Stegostoma tigrinum: one gene and its partner. The protein of the gene in region 2 purifies or fractionates together with the protein of the main gene of each other region. This does not show direct contact. Links are inferred from orthologs where the notes say so. Each region holds a gene or a part of one and is shown on either strand. Other genes may lie near its edges. The genes, in order: nudcd3 and klhl6.

The links.
Region 1: the proteins of klhl6 (region 2) and nudcd3 purify together in Homo sapiens (affinity purification with mass spectrometry; 3 studies listed by BioGRID and IntAct, counting the BioPlex papers as one, with this or other methods). This does not show direct contact. The link is inferred for Stegostoma tigrinum from reciprocal best matches to the Homo sapiens genes KLHL6 and NUDCD3.

The regions. Positions count from the first base shown.
Region 1 is NC_081393.1:11,210,735-11,219,030, reverse strand, and holds the start of nudcd3 (nudC domain-containing protein 3), read right to left. Parts: upstream 3,466-8,296; 5' UTR 3,305-3,465; coding exon 3,107-3,304; intron 1-3,106.
Region 2 is NC_081367.1:10,819,099-10,827,376, forward strand, and holds the start of klhl6 (kelch-like protein 6), read right to left. Parts: upstream 3,337-8,278; 5' UTR 3,302-3,336; coding exon 3,042-3,301; intron 1-3,041. UniProt on the Homo sapiens protein: Involved in B-lymphocyte antigen receptor signaling and germinal center formation.

The DNA of each region.
Region 1 (8,296 bases), on a different chromosome or scaffold from region 2:
GGCCTGTGGAATTCATTGCCACGGAGCGCAGTGGAGGCCTGGCTGTTAAATGTCTTCAAGACAGAGATTGATAAATTTGTGATCTCGCAAGGAATTAAGGGCTACGGGGAGAGTGCAGGGAAGTGAAGTTGAAATGCCCATCAGCCATGATTAAATGGCTGGAGTGGACTCGATGGGCCGAATGGCCTTACTTCCACTCCTATGTCTTATGGTCTTATAGTAAGCGAGGGAAGTGGAAAAGCTGATAAGGAGGAAAATGAGTAGGTAAAGATGGATTGGGTGCACTGAAAGCGACTGCACCCAAAACATAAAGTCAACTTTCTCTTTTGACATGGAAATCTGCTTTTATTCCAGATATTGGTGGCTAGTCTATCCCCAGACATGGAAACAGGGGTGACGAGGAAGGGAAGGCAGGAGTCAGAGAGAGACCAAGTGAAGATGGGAGTAAGGTGGAAACTGGAAGCCAAACTGATCATTTTTTTCTAATTCTGGGAGAAAGAGGGATGCAGCGCCAATGATGTACGGGCCATGTACGAGAGAAAATGTTGTGGGTGGGGTCCCCAATTCAGACACGAAAAATTATGTTCCAAGTAACCAACAAAGAGACAGGCATCACTGGGGCCCAAGCACGTACCCACAGCCATACTTTTGATCTGAAAAAAGAGACAGGAATTTAAGTAAGTGTTGTTTGAAGCCAGGATGAACTCAATCAGGTGGAGGAGGGTGGTGATGGAAGATGGGAATGGTTCAGCGCCTCCATAAAGAAGCAGAAAGCCCGAAGACAATCTGATCATGAATGAACATGTGAAGGGATTGCATGTCCACGGTCAAGAGGATGCCACTGTTGCCGGCAAAACGGAAATTCTAAAACAGACAGAAAGCATCAGAACAATCCAAGTGAAAGGACTGGACAAGGGCAAAAAAAGTGAGTCAAAAGCATGAAGACATTAAGTTCCATCGGGCAACAGCCAGCAGAAACATCATGTTTGTGGACTTTGGGAAGAAACTGGAAGTGGGCCGTGTGGGATTGGAAGACTGTGAGCTTGAAGGCAATGCAGACTGTGCAATGCCCTCCCGACAATGACTCACTTCGCAGCTCCACACGTATCATGTCCATCGATCAAAATAACTTACCAGCAGATTCACTGTTGTCATTAACTGACCAGTTGAGATGTTGAAAAACTAATTCTCATTGTTATAGACGTTGTATCCCTGTCACTCTTTGAGAAATGGGCACGAAGCCGAACACCACATTTTGAAAAGCAATTGTGGGCACACTCAGGTCTCATAAAATACACCTGCATCTTAACAATCCAAAGGAAAAACAGAAAATTTTGGACAAACTCAGCAGGTCTGGCAGCGAATGCACAGAGGGAGAATGAACTTTGAGTGTGACAGTTCTGAACGACTCAAGTCAAAGAAAAAAAACATTAAAAAACTTTTTCTCTCTCTCAACCAACGTTGCCAGACCTGCTGAATTTTTCCTGCAATTTAAGTTTTCATTTCAGATTTTCAACATCCACACTATTTTGCTTTTAACAAGCAAGCTGTGCTGCTGTTCACGTTTCATTCTGTCCATGAACTAATTACAGCATTAGATCAGCATTACTCCTGAAAGTCACTTTTTTCTGGCATCTCACAATGAAATTCTTCTGAACTCAACCACTTTTGAACAAGTTATCAAAAAGTCACTCAACTGGTTACTGTGTGCAGTTCTGTGCTCCTCACCGCGGAGCACTATTTACTTAGATTCTCTGTCCATTTGTGTTGATTCTGTAAATAATTTTAAAAGTGCAAATCCCAGGAAGGTCAAAGGTCATCCAGTCAGGGCTGACTGAGCTGGTATTGGCACAAGGCCAGGATGGTCAACTGAATTGGCTGAAGCCATTGAGTTCTGGTATGGTGCCTTTAACTTGGTGGAGTATCCCAAGCTCTTTCACGAGCAATTTCAGCTTCATCTGACACCAAGTCACATGACAAGTCATAGAATCCTTACAGTGTGCAAACAGGCCATTCAGCCCAATAAGTCCACACTGAACCTCCGAAGAGCATCCTACCCAGACCCAAACCCCTACCCAATCCATGGAACCCTCTGTTTTCTCTGGCTAATGCACTGAACCTACACATCCCGTAACAGAACGGACAATTTAACATAGCCAACCCACAAAACTTGAGGACCTTTGGAGTCTGGGAGGAAACCCACACAGACAGTCACCTCAGGGTGGAATTAAGCTTAGGTCCCTGGCACGGTGAGGCAATGGTGCAAACCACTGAGCCACCCATGATCTTGATTAAGATAAGTAGATTTTAAGCTGTTACTGAACGAGGAAAAAAAACAAGATTGCGAGTCAGAGACACTAGGATCCCAACTCAATACACTTCAGTGCTTCAGGTCCACATGACTGAAGACACATGGGCATGACTAGAACTAAAATCAGACATGCAAGAACCAGAATTAGAGTGAAACAGAAAACCCCTGGAGAATTGGACTGGGGTACATTTGATTGAAGGAGAAGCAAAGATCTGTTCTGGAGTCTGAAAACCGCAATCGAGGTGTCGTTGGACAGGGCGTGCGCACCTGAAGTTGGGTGGTTACCGTTCTGTACTCCCCTCCCAAGCTGAGCACTCCAACCTCCACTGCCACTATTCCTCTAGCCACCTGTAAACCTCCTGCAACAATGCACCCGCTTGTTCTTGACCCTTGGGCTGAGGCCAGCAGGTGCTCCTTAGCCACCCAGTCAATGCCCCTCACCACTGCAGCAAATGGCACTTGAACTCAGATGTTTTGGCAGGGACACAATCAACATGCCACAAAACCCCGAATAATGGAACTTAAGGAAGATGACAGCTGGTGCTCTGAAGCAACTAAGTTCAAAGGGGCAAAAGGAACCAAAAACAAAAATGCATGTGAGGGAGAGTTGCTGAGAGGGTGGCTTTTCGACCAGAACACACTTTCAGATTTGACACTGGGCTGTCTTGGTCCACAACTGGAAAGCCTGGGGTTTGATTTTGAGCAGGAGACGGAGAGGGTCGGGAGGGAGGCGACAGAGGAAGCGAACCGGTGCCTTGGCGGCGGCGGGGGCCTCCTCGGTCCGCGGGCACTCACCCTCAGGGCCAGCTTCTCGGCCACTCCGGGTGGGAACCCCAGCCTGTCCTCCTTCAGCGCCATCACTCGGAAAAAGTCGGTCTTCCTGTAGAGGAAGCCGAAGAAAACTTCCAGAAAGTTCTCGATCTTGCCCACATGCTGCAGGATGCCCAGCAGCGCCTGGTCGTACATCTCGGTCACCTCGGGAGGGCCGTCCATGGCCGCCTCGTCCCTTATCCTCCTGGACTCCCGCGGTCTCCCTGGGCACTCGACAATAATCTCGATCCTTTTGTTTTCTTCCTTGGTTTTAGTTTTCTTCCCCCGTTCCTTTCGCGTCTCTCTCCTCCCAACCGCTCGCCCGAGGGACTTCCGGCGGAACCGGTCCGTCACCCACAATCATCCCCCGCCCCGGCACCGCGTTTCCCCGTCTCTAACCTTCCCCCGCTCACAACGCCAACGCGACTGGAGACAAGAGGTGCAGCTGGTGTCTGGAGGGTATCAGGTGATGAAGGCAGGTTCAAATGGTTGCATTCAAAAAGGAATTAGTTGGATTTTATAGGAACCCGTTCGGGGAAGTTTGAACGCTCATCTGAAACAAGTGGGATTTGAACGCAGACCTCCTGAGTCGGAGGAGAGACACAAACAATGCCTCTTGTTCCTCGGGAAGCTAAGGAAATTCACTACGCCCATAACAAACCCTCAACCACTTTTACAGATGCACCATAGTTACCATCCTGTCTGGATGCATCACGGCTTGGTATGGCAACTGCTCTGCTCAGGACCGTAAGAAACTACACTGTGCACAGTCCAGACCATCATGCAAGCCAACTTTCAATCCATTGACTTCAAATACACTTCAAGATGCCACAGATATGCAGCGAAGATGACCAAAGAGCCCTCCCACACTCAGGCAGTAGATACAAAAGCTTAACCAAAAATCCCAACAGGTTCAAGAACAGAGATAGCAGAGATAACAAGGTGAAGAGCTAAATGAACACGGCAGAACAAGCAGCTGTGAAGAAGAATCTGTGAAGAGGGAAAACGTCAGCTTTGTGCTCCTCTGATGCTCTTGGCCTGCTGTGTTCATCCAGCTCTATGGCTTGTCATCTCAGGTTCGAGAACAGCTTCTTCTGAACGGACCTCTCAAATTTCAAATCCAATGTTTAGCTTGCTTTTTGTGCACCTTCTTTCCGGCTGTAACTTAGTCTTCCTTACTGTATTCAGTCACCCTAGGATCTTGGTATGTGATGATCTGCCTATACTGCGCACAAAACAAAATGTACCAAAGTACGTGACAATAATAAATCAAATCAAATCACAGCCACTGCATCAGCACGGCCATGCAAAGGGAATTTGATAGCTTTCCAAAGAAGAAATAAGCTGCAAGATTCGACCGAGCATATAAAAGTATGAAACAAAGTGTGGGGCTGGATGAACACAGCAGGCCAAGCAGCATCTCAGGAGCACAGAAGCTGACGTTTCGGGCCTAGACCCAAACAAAGTATGTTGCTGATTGGCAAACAGAAGAATAAAATTGGTTCTGAACTTGCAACAATTCTCAACAACTAGCTAACATTTTAGAAGTCTGTGAGGTCAAAACAGATTTTTGTTTTCCTTTAGGGTCTATCTATAAGGATCGTTGGTGAATTTCTGCCTCTTGTAGATAGTACACACTGCTGCTACTGAGCATCGGTGGTACAGGGAGTGGATGCTTACCGATGTGGTGCCAATGAGGCAGCTGCTCTGTTCTGGATAGTAGGGAAACTCCTTGATTTGATTTATTATTTTCACATATACTGAGATATAGCAAAAGGTTTTGTTTTACATGCTATCTAGGCAAATCATTACCTCACACAAGTGCCTGAGGGAAGTAGAACAGAATATTATGTTACAGCTATAGAGGAGATGCAGAAAAAGATGACCTCTAATATATGAGCTGTCCAATCAAGGTCTAATAAAAGCAAGTAAGAAGCTGTTCTTGAATCTGTTGGTCCATATTTTCAAACTTTTCCATCTTCTGTCTGAGAGAAGAGGATAGAAGAGAGTATAACCGGTGTGGTCTTTGATTATGCTCGCTGCTGTTCCAAGGCAGTGGTAACTGTAGATGGAGTCAATGGAGAGAAGGCTAAATTTTTGTGACAGTGTGTACTGCGTTCACAATTCTCTCTAATTTCTTGCAGTTTTGAGCACAGCAGTTGGCATACCAAGCTGTGACACACCTGCATAGAATGCTCTCGATGGTGCATCTATGAAATTGGAAAAAGTAATTGTAGACCTGCTGAATTTCCTTAGCCTTCTGAGGACATTGAGGTGTGGGTGCACAGTCTTGACTGTAGCATCATGGATGAACCAGGATAGGTCACTGGTGATATTTACTCCAAAGCACTTGAAGCTCTCAACCTCTTGACCTCAGCACCATTAATACACATACTGACATGTGCTCCACTCCCGTTCCTGAAGTCGATGACCAGCTCCTTCGTTTTGCTGGCATTGAGAGAGAGAAATTGTTGTTTTTGCACCATGCCACTAAGCTGTCTATCTTTTGCCTATACTCTGTCATGATGGTGGTGTCATCAGCAAAGTTGTCAATCGAGTTAAAGCTAAATTTGACCACACAGTTGTGAGTATATAGGGAGTATAGTCAGGGGCAGAGTACACAGCCTTGTGAAACACCAGTAAGGATTATCGTGGAGGACGTGTTGTTACTGATGGCAGTCTGTGGATGAGGAATTCAAGGATCCAGTTGCAGAGGGCGGAGCAGAAACCCATGTTTTGTTGTTTGGAAGTTAGGTTGGCAGTTGAGGGCTTAGTTGAAGGCAGAGCTCTATAAGAGCCTGACGTGGGTATTCTCATTATTCAAATGTTCCAGGGATCAGTGTCGGTCTAAGAAGATGGCATTTGCCACGGACCTATTATGACAGTTGGCAAACTCTAGTGGATCAAGGCTGTCGGGGAGGCTGGAGTTGACGTGTACCATTACTAACCTCTCGAAGCATTTCATATGATGGATTTCAGAGCCACTAGGTGTTAAGTCATTGAGGCGGGCTCTCTGCTATGTCTTTGGCACCAGGCTGATAGTGGTCTTCTTGAAGTCGGTGGGAACTTCAGATCGTAGTAAGGAGAGGTTAAAGATGTCAGTGAATAGTCTAGCCAGCTAGTCTGCACAGGATCTAATTGCATGGCCAGGGTCTCCATCCAGGCCAGTTAGTTTCTATAGGTTCACCCTAAAGATGCTCAGCTGACATTTGCAGCAGTGACTATGGGTACAGGTGGACCTGAAGCTGCAGGGCAGGTCACATCATTTCACTGACAGTCGGTTTCAAATGAGCACAGAATGCATTCAGCTCATCAGGGAGGATTGCAATGTTGCCAGCAATTCTATTCAACTTCACTTCGTCACCTGTTTTCTCATGCCAGTCTTGCCACAATTGACATGTAGTTGTACAGTTAGTCTGGGACTTTAGTCTAATCTGGTGTCTTTGTCTCTTAGTGTCCCTGATGGCTTTTCAAGGGTTGTACCTAGATTTGCTGTATAGGTCAGGGTCACCCGATGTGAACGCCTCAGACCTGGACTTCAGTAGGGAGAACATCTCCCAGTTAATCCACGGTTTTTGGTTGGGGAACACTCAGATTAACTTCTTTGGCAAACATCTTCCAGACAATTACTAATTAGGTCGGTGACGGTAGTTGCATTATCATTTTGGTTGGTAACCGATGTTCAATATGGACCAGTCCACCGATTCCACGCAGTAACAAAGGAGCTCATCCATTACTTCACACCAGCACAAGACAACTTTATGTCCAGGCCCTCGTGCTTCAGTTTTTGCTTGTAAGCCGAGAAAAGGTGCACAGTCTTATGGTTCGATTTTCCAAAATATGGGAGGGAGTTAGAGAGTTGGCACCTTTCATGATTATATCACAATGGTGAAGGGTGTTTGGGCCTCTAGTGGGACAGGAGATATGTTGATGGTATCTTGATAGCATACTCTTGATGTGAGCATGGTTCAATTCGCTGGCTACAACGAACAAGGCCTCAGGGTATTCTGTGTCAAGGCTATTTTTCACAGCGTACATTTCATCAATTGCAATCTTCAGTTCTGCATGGAGTCGGATGTAAACTGCTGTCAGGCTAGCAGAAGTGAACTCCCATGGCAGGTGGTAGGTACAGCACTTGACTGTTCTACATTCAGGGAGCAGTAATGTGTCAGTGTCATCACATCTGAGCACCAAGGGGCGTTGATCATGAGGCAGACCCCTGTGCCCCACGCCTTGCTCAAGGATGTTGTGTGTACCGTCTGACAAAATTCAGAAACAGTCAGTTGAAGCAGGAATGAGCCATGTCTTTGTAAAAGAGTGCACACAGCAGGCCACTCAATTCCCTTTGGTCGGTGCGTCCAGCTTGTTTTCCACAGCTTGTACTTTTGCACAAGTGCCTCAGGATAAGGTGGCACCTTTGGCTCCTTCATCAGTGAGATCTTCCCTCCATCCACAGGTCAGAGCCAGGGATACTGAACTTGAAACTGCATCACCTGCAGGCCAGCACATCTCTCCCATTTCCTGGGTAAGAGGCTGCTTCTGGTCAGGCCCAAGGAGCCAGTGTAGATTGTCTGCCATCCCAGAAGGTACATGCGTGCATCCAGTAGGGTCATGGACACAGATCGCAGCCTTGGGTACACCGGAGGGTGTATTGATTTCGATCTGGCTGGGCCACAAAGTCAGGTCTCCACAAGGTCAGGTAAGGTCGCAGAGCCGGGTTGCCGATCAATATCTGGTGTTGGGCCTTCCAAAAGCCAGTAACTGGTTCATCTCTTTGTTGTCACAGTCGCGGATCCAGTGTTAGCAGTTGGGCCCCACTCACCACACTCCAGCGCCATTTTGGAAGCGGTCTCAATTGTCATCCCAGGTGTACTCATCCGGGCAAGTAGGGAGTATTCCATTGCATTCCTGGCATGTTCTTCATAGATGATGGGCAGGCTGTGGGGAGTCCGAAGGTGAGTACTCGCTGCAGTACTCCGAGCTTCTGGCCTGCTCTTGTAGCCACTGTGTTTGTGTGGCGAGTCCAGGTGAGTTTCTGGTCAATGGTAACCCCTAGGAAATTGATAGTGGGGAATTCAGTGATGGTAACACCATTGAATGTCAAAAGGAAGTGATTACTTTGTCTCTTGTCGGAAATGTTCATTGCCTGGAATGACTGGCGTTAATGTTACTTGC
Region 2 (8,278 bases):
GATGGGCCTGGTCCTGGACTGATGATGGTGTCGAGAAGTCAGGTTATACTCCTTCTCAGATGGTTTCCCATGGACAGGAATCGGCCACAGGAGATGCTAACAAATATGAGTTCTGGGACACGGCTCCACAGTGTGAATTTACATTCGCCATGACTTGAATTTTCTTCTAGTCAATTCAAAAATTCTTTGGTATGGACTACACCATAAATAGGTTTTACATCTTTCAGAGTCTTTTGGTATTGTTGGGAGGTTCCAGTGATTTGCGATGCTTGTTCCATTGGGCATGGGAGACATTTGCGTTAAGGATCTGGTCACGGGGTACCATTGAGCTGTTACTATCCCCCAGACAATGACTACTTGGGGTCTCTAACCCACATAGTATCCCACAGGGAATTACTCACCAATCAACATTCACCCCACAATAACCTGCTGAGAGTTCCATGTAAAGAATTATTTTGTGGCACTACTTGGCTCTGAGTCAAATGATAAGGGGTTTAAGACCCAGTCCAGGTTTGTTGACATAATCTAACCTGTTGGTTCAGTGTAAGACAAAGAGAAAGAACATTATTGGAAATGCTCACTTTCACATGAACTATAGCAACTTGAAGATCAAAGGTATCTTCCAGATGCCCTGACCAATGTTCATCCCTCAATCTCCACCAAGAGTGACTTCTGTGTAAAATTGGTGTCATTGATTCAGTCGCTAATTTTAACACGTCCCCAAGCAAAAATTTGGGAGAAATCTGTAACTTGCTATTGCTATTTATTCCATAAAACACAAAGCCAAAGTTAATCCCTCAACAGTGAATTAATCAGTCATTATCACATTGCTGCCTATGTTTTATCGGCAATGAAGATCTATGCAAGTTAACAAACGTCTATATGAATGGACCAGCTGTCATCAACACATTTCTGTGCTGCAAGGGACCTGGACATTCCATCAATAAAGACTCTGCTGCATACACCTGATTAAATGGGAGGTCTATGAAAGAAATACTACTGTCCTTCTTGAAGCCAGTTCCACAAACATTCAGAAGAAACCCCAGCAAGATTAGCGGTGAAGAATTGAGCTCAGTGTCCAGTGGATGGCTGAAATTATCTCGCCTGCTGGGTCCCGTCTTCTCAACTACTGAATGGTCAATGTTCCAGGGAAGGGGAAAGAACACACTATAAAGACTCTCCGAAACTCTCCTTGAGGAACAGCATCACTGACATCAGTGACCGGGAGGAGATTGCTTCCATATGTTCAAAATGGCAACAATCTTTCTATCAAGTTTGATCACATTTTTGCCTGAAAACATTAATGACGAAGTGACGTAATGGCAGAGAAGGAAAGAAAAGAAAGCAAATCCTGCACCCCAGATCCCACTGCCTCATCCAACCAATGTACCCAAAGATCTGTAGGTTGAGAATTGGCCTGTGAATCATATTGGGACCCATGCTGGAAACACACAATCATACATTGACGTCATCTTCAATTCAAGGGACAGGTGGCAATGATGCTGCCTGTGTGATCTTTCTGTGCACAGATTGGCTACTTCGTCTGCATATATACCAACACTGATGACATTTCAAAAGTACCTCATTGGCTTTTTAGTGCTTTTGAAAGTTCTGATGATGTATAAATTTGTTAGATGGTTTATGTCTTTATAAATTTAAAGTAAAAGCACAACACACTGCATGCGATGAAAAGATGTGTCAGTCTATCAGCTTGATATCTATAGCCAAAGACATATTTTCTTAGGGGCTCAGAGGCTGATATTGGAGTCATAGTATGGAGCTGGACGAACACAGCAGGCCAGGCAGCATCAGAAGAGCAGGAAAGTCGACGTTTCAGGTCAGGACCATCTGTATTTATTTCCGAGCTCCCATCTCCATTTCTGAAGAAGGGTCCCGACCCGAAGTGTCAACTTTCCTGCTCCTCTGATGCTGCCTGGCCTGCTGTGTTCCTCCAGCTCCACACTGTGTCATCTTAGGGGCCCACTCCCCACAATCTTTTGCATCTTTAAATGGGCCCGTGATTTGTCTCACATATTGAGTAGCCAACTTTATTTGGGCATATTCCTGGGTCTTTCCTTTGGTATTTAAAAATGTCCGTGGCTAATAAATGCAAGTAAATGAACGAATCAATGAAAATGAATGAATTTTTTTAATTGTTTCCTGTTCGGGAGGCACAAAGTTGACAATGTTTGCTCATCCTCACATTTCCCTAATGTTTTGCTCCAATAATCACAGATCAGCAATAGGATACCACACTGAGACATCAGGAACAAACTAATAACTGAAGCCATTCCTATTTGTCAGCTGTGGCACTTAAACAGTGAACAGAAAGACAGGTACAGAGTTTCTTTGAGTAAAAATGATTGGCCACAGAACAGTGAGGTTTTGGAGCACTATTACTGTATATTTCTTTATCTCTTTATTGGTTTACAGGCTTCAGCACCACCTTCAAAGCTCTTTGTCTATTCTTTCTCCCTTAAGATGCTACTTAAAACATACCTCTCCATCACTGTAACTATGCTTTGCTTTGGGCCTTTGTTTCCGACTTGGTGTCATTTTTCCATCCTATTATTCTGCTGTGATGATACATTAAAGGTGCTATTTCAATGCAAGTTGTTGCTGGCAAAGACATTCTCAAACTCGGGAACTATTCAAACGTTGGGCAGAAATTAGCGTCGTCCCAAAGAAATGATTGTCGTGGAATATCCATGGCAAGATTTAACTTGAATATCAACAAATTGCCTTTATGCAGTGTCTCCAATACAGTTAAAAAAAGACTTGGACTCCCCACAAGGGAATTATCAGACACAGATAATTGTGTTGACACAAAGGAGATATTAGGGCCAGTGAGCAGATGTTTGGTCAAACAAGGAGGTCTGAAGGAGCTTTTTAAAGGTCCACAGAGGAGAGGCAAAGGAGTTTAAGAGATGGAAGTCAGGACTTCAGGCCTAGACAACTGAAGGTACAGTCACCGATGCTGGGCCGAAGGAAATATCCAACAGTCTTGGCACATAAACAAAGAAATGATGCTTTCGGCCTACCTGAAGTAACTGCTGGCAGCTGCCAACACAACCCGGTGACAGGAAAACTCTCTGTCATCCACACACAGGACAACATCCGTGAGGGAGCTGTCCAGCCGGAGGTCATCCAGGCCACCCTGCAGGATAGTGGAGAAGCCGGTGTCGTTGAAAGTCACTGTCCCGTCTGACGAGCTTTCTGTCAGCCCCTCAACAGCCCAGGTATGTTTCCCAGCCTGGCAGCTCGAGCCCTTGTCGCTGCTGCTCTCCACTACAACAGCCATTTCGCATACTCCTGCCTGGTTGCTCCACTCCTCACAGGCTGATGCAGCGTTTTGAGGTTTCACAGTCAGTTGTAATGTTGCCCTTTGACGGATTTCCTGCTCATGACTCGCTTCTTATCAGAGACCAACACATATGCAGAACAGGAAGAGCAACACTTTCTCGTATTTTTTTCCTTCTTCGCCATCCTCCCCTGCCCCCCTCACCCCCTGCCTGTACTGATGTGGAGTTGTTAGCCCATCGAATGATCATAATAAAATGTTTTTGCACCTCTTTCAAGTTTCCTTTCTGCTGTACAGAGAGCTGAAAGTTACTTCACTGGATACAGCTCCAATAATATCAGAACGTTTATAGCCATTGGGTGTAAGAGGCAAAGCAAGGGTTTGGAAGATGAGCGTGTCTGATCTGAATCCTCAATGCGACAGTCAGTTCCAATCTGAGGGATGCCTTCCCCAGAATAAGATGTTTTCTGGCAGGTCCACAACAAGACAGCGATGATTTTCCATCACGCAATTCCTTTAATGTTCCACCATCTCTCCTGGAGGATAATGGTGCTTGTTGATGTTTGATGCTATGGGCTTGGAAAGTTCATACATTGTGTTGCAAAGTGCAAACACTGCCTCTCGCAGTGAGTTCACAAATTCTAACCCTAGTGCAAAGCTATATCACTGCCGCCAGAGGGTGGTGGGCTTATGGAATTCATTGCCGCAGAGTGCAGTGGAGGCCGGGACGTTGGATGCCTTCAAGGCAGAGATCGACAAATTCTTGATCTCAAAAGGAATCAAGGGCTACGGAGTGGGGGGGGGGGGGGGGGGGGGAGTGCAGGGAAGTGGTGTTGAAATGCCCATCAGCCATGATTTAAATGGTGGAGTGGACTTGATGGGCCAAATGGCCTTACTTCCACTCCTATGTCTTATGGTCTTAGGATGAGGGGATCTAGTGCAGCAAGTGTGACCAATAGACAGGGCAATGGATCCCGTTGAAACACAGTCGTCAGGCTGATAGGGAATCAGGATTAAGCATTCTCATTATATGTAACTGTAGTGTAATATTGCAGTCTCCTGAGACAATCAGCGCAGACTGAATATAGTTCTGGATTTGAGTGAAGATTGTAGCTTCGGCTGTTGGCTGTAGACGTTGGTTGAGGATATCACCTTGTAAGGGGATGAAACGTTTGCTATCAAACCTCCCAGCTCGACGAACATACCAACATCCACAGACTAAATATAATCACTGGAATAAAGTGAGGCAAGTTTACAAATGATGCTTTTTGGGTTATAGGATGTCAACTCAAATAGAGCATTTTTTCACTTTTTAACCCTTGAACCCTATCAAACTGTCCCAAGTTAAGAACCACAGATTGGGTGTTGAGTGAAGCTTCCTCTACACTGTGTCAACAAACATTTCCAGTCTTAATTACAGTGCAAATCTCTTGTACGGTCGCATCAAACACTCCCTGGGCAGTTACAGCCAAGGTCGACATAAAATAAAACTCCCTTATCCTGTCTCGTCATGTGTTGCTAAAACAAGGATAAGTTAGAGACAGAGTAAAGCTGACTGTAAAATTGAGAAATTCTCAGGTCATATGCATCACAGTTGGCTACAGAGTAGAAACTGTTCCGTGAAGCATTCCCAGGTGAGAAACAGCACAGGTCAGATATAGAGTAAATCTTCCACTACAGTGTTATAACAAGATGTGGCAAGTTATCAATAGCAGCAATTCAACTTCAATCCAACCTCAGTGTCAGATTAGCACCGCCTGCTGCAATAGTCTATCCTCTGACCTTTCCCAGGGAGGTTGTCAATTGCAAGGCCATTTCCAATTTGTGTAAAAGTGTGAACAATTCCATGGGCCACGCCAGAAACTTGAGTGCCAGCTATCCAAATGCAGGGCAGATGAAACTTATCAAGCATTTACAAACCCCTACTTTATTGGTCTGCTCTGTATTTCCAATGCAGAGTGCAGGGAGTGATCTGATGAACTTTGACAGCAAATTTGCATCAGGTCTGTCAATCCAGTTCATTCACTAGATCATCTCCACGATGCCCCATACATTTTTTGAAGGCAATTATTGCTAAGTAAACAACTGCGAGTGTTTGAATGTTCTGTGTGTTCAATGTTGCCTGCAAAAGGTAGAGACGCTTGGTGGTTTGGCCATGTTAAATTGCCCATAGTGTTCAGGTGGGTTATAGCGGGGTGGGTCTGGGTGAGATGCTTTGAGGTTCGGTATGGACTGGGCCGAAGGGCCTGTTTCCACACTGTGGGGATTCTATGATTCTATGAAAGCAATCTGGTTTATTTTAAGCATGTCACAATATTAAAATAAGGAAGTTGTGCAACAGTTACAGGCTCTTGATCAGTTTTCTTCCGGAGTATTGTGTTTAGTCTAGGAGCACTGCACCTCAGGAAGAATATAGTGGCTTGATTGAGTACACACTAAGACTCCCAGAATGATAAAAGATAAAACTATTAGGACAGTGCTCATACAAAAGGTACTCTCTCCGAAATCCCTCTGCCTCAGTACTGAGGCCATGCCAGATTTTGGAACTTGCTGACTTTCAGGGAAAAATTTGGAATGTGTTAATTCAGGTCAAGATCCAGTCAATAGGGGAACAGGAAAACCAACAGATATTATAAGTTAATCACCATATCGCTGCTGATATTAATTCACTTCACACGCAAAGGCTCGTACACACCATTCCCCACTTCCCTACATTGGTTAGCCGATTTAAATTGACAAAAAATTGTCGTGTTTGTGTGTGTGTGTGTGTGTGTGTGTATATCCCTGTATAAATGCACACAATTAGTTCAATTTAGCACTCTTCTTAGAGTCACTTAATATTCTGGCTGTTTTCCAGGTCATTGGATCTGTTGTTATTTTGCATCAGAGGAAGTTCACTTTAAGCTCCGCCCTCCTCTGTCCTGTTTGGAGAAGTGGGCCTATTGTTCCACAGAATGATCTGCTCCACTAACTATTACAGATATCCATCTCACTTTGAGATTAATCCCCTTCCCCTCAGTTATGCCTTTTCCGATGGGACATCTTAAAACCTTTGCTCAACATTCATCTACCAAAGCCGGAATAAGAGTCTAAATCTCAGGATATAATGGACAATTCTTGTCCTTCCTGGGGCTGGGGGCTAGGGTTTGAATTTATAAGCTCAATCATTGTTAAAATGTTTTTGACAAGCTTTACTTTTTCCTTAAACATATAACACATCATCATTGTCACATTTGTGGAAGGCTACATGATGGTGCGTTTTCCCTCCATTACTTCAGAATATTGTGTTGCACAAAATCATTATCTTTAACTAACCCTCCCATTCCCTCCCTCACATCCCTGGGGGGGAACTGACTCCAGCTAGAACAGAGCTGAATGTGTTTTGAGATAACAAGGTGTAGAGCTGGATGAACACAGCAGGCCAAGCAGCATCAGAGGAGCAGGAATGCTGGCGTTTCGGGCCTAGACCCTTCTTCAGAAATGGGGGAGGGGAAGGAGATTCTGAAATAAATAGGGAGAGAGGGGGAAGCGGATCGAAGATGGATAGAGGAGAAAATAGATGGAGAGGAGACAGACAGATCAAAGGGGCGGGGATGGAGCCAGAAAAGGTGAGTGTAAGTGGGGAGCTAGGGTGGGGATAGGTCAATCCAGAGAGGATGGACAGGTCAAGGAGGCCGGCTGAGGCTGGTAGTTAGGAGGTGGGGATGGGGCTTGAGGTGGGAGGAGTGGATAAGTGGGAGGAAGGTCGGACAGGTTAGGGAGGCGGGGATGAACTGGGCTGGTTTTGGGATGCATTCAGGGAGGGGACATTTTGAAGCTTGTGAAGTCCACATTGATACCATTGGGCTGCAGGGTTCCCAAACGAAATATGAGATGCCGTTCCTGCAACCTTTGGGTAGCATCATTGTGCCACTGGAGGAGGCCCAAGATGGACATGTTGTCTAAGGAGTGGGAGGGGGAGTTGAAATGGTTCGCAACTGGGAGGTGCGTTTGTCGCGAACTGAGCATAGGTGTTCCACATGTGTGACCTATTTTGATTTATGTGCAACCACAGACGTTGACTGTCATCTGAAAGAAAGAGCATGCATTTGTATAGCACGTTTACTATCTCAGGATATCTACCCAAAAGCATTCACATTGACTGACATACTTCGGAAGTGTTGCAATATAACAACCAGTGTGTAGAGCTGGATGAACCCAGCAGGGCAGGCAGCATCAGAGGAGCAGGAAGGCTGACATTTTGGAAAGGTCTATTTCTTCAGAAGGGTCTATTTCTGAAGAAGGATCTAGCCCAAAACATCAGCCTTCCTGCTCCTCTGATGCTGCTTGGCCTGCTGTGTTCATCCAGCTCTACATCTTGTTATCTCAGATTCTCCAGCATCTGCAGTTCCTACTATCTCTAATAACCACTGTGGCTTGCTTGTGCACAGCACATTTCTAAAAAGCATAGTTAAATAAATTACCCTTTTGTATTAGAGATAATGGGAACTGCAGATGCTGGAGAATCCAAGATAATAAAATGTGAGGCTGGATGAACACAGCAGGACAAGCAGCATCTCAGGAGCACAAAAGCTGACGGTTCGGGCCTAGGCCCTTCATCAGAGAGGGGGATGGGGTGAGGGTTCTGGAATAAATAGGGAGAGAGGGGGAGGCGGGCCGAAGATGGAGAGTAAAGAAGATAGGTGGAGAGAGTATAGGTGGGGAGGTAGGGAGGGGATAGGTCAGTCCAGGGAAGACGGACAGGTCAAGGAGGTGGGATGAGATTAGTAGGTAGCTGGGGGTGCGGCTTGGTGTGGGAGGAAGGGATGGGTGAGAGGAAGAACCGGTTAGGGAGGCAGAGACAGGTTGGACTGATTTTGGGAGGCAGTGGGTGGTGGGGAAGAGCTGGGCTGGTTGTGTGGTGCAGTGGGGGGAGGGGGCGAACTAGGCTGGTTTAGGGATGCAGTAGGGGAGGGGAGATTTTTAAACTGGTGAAGT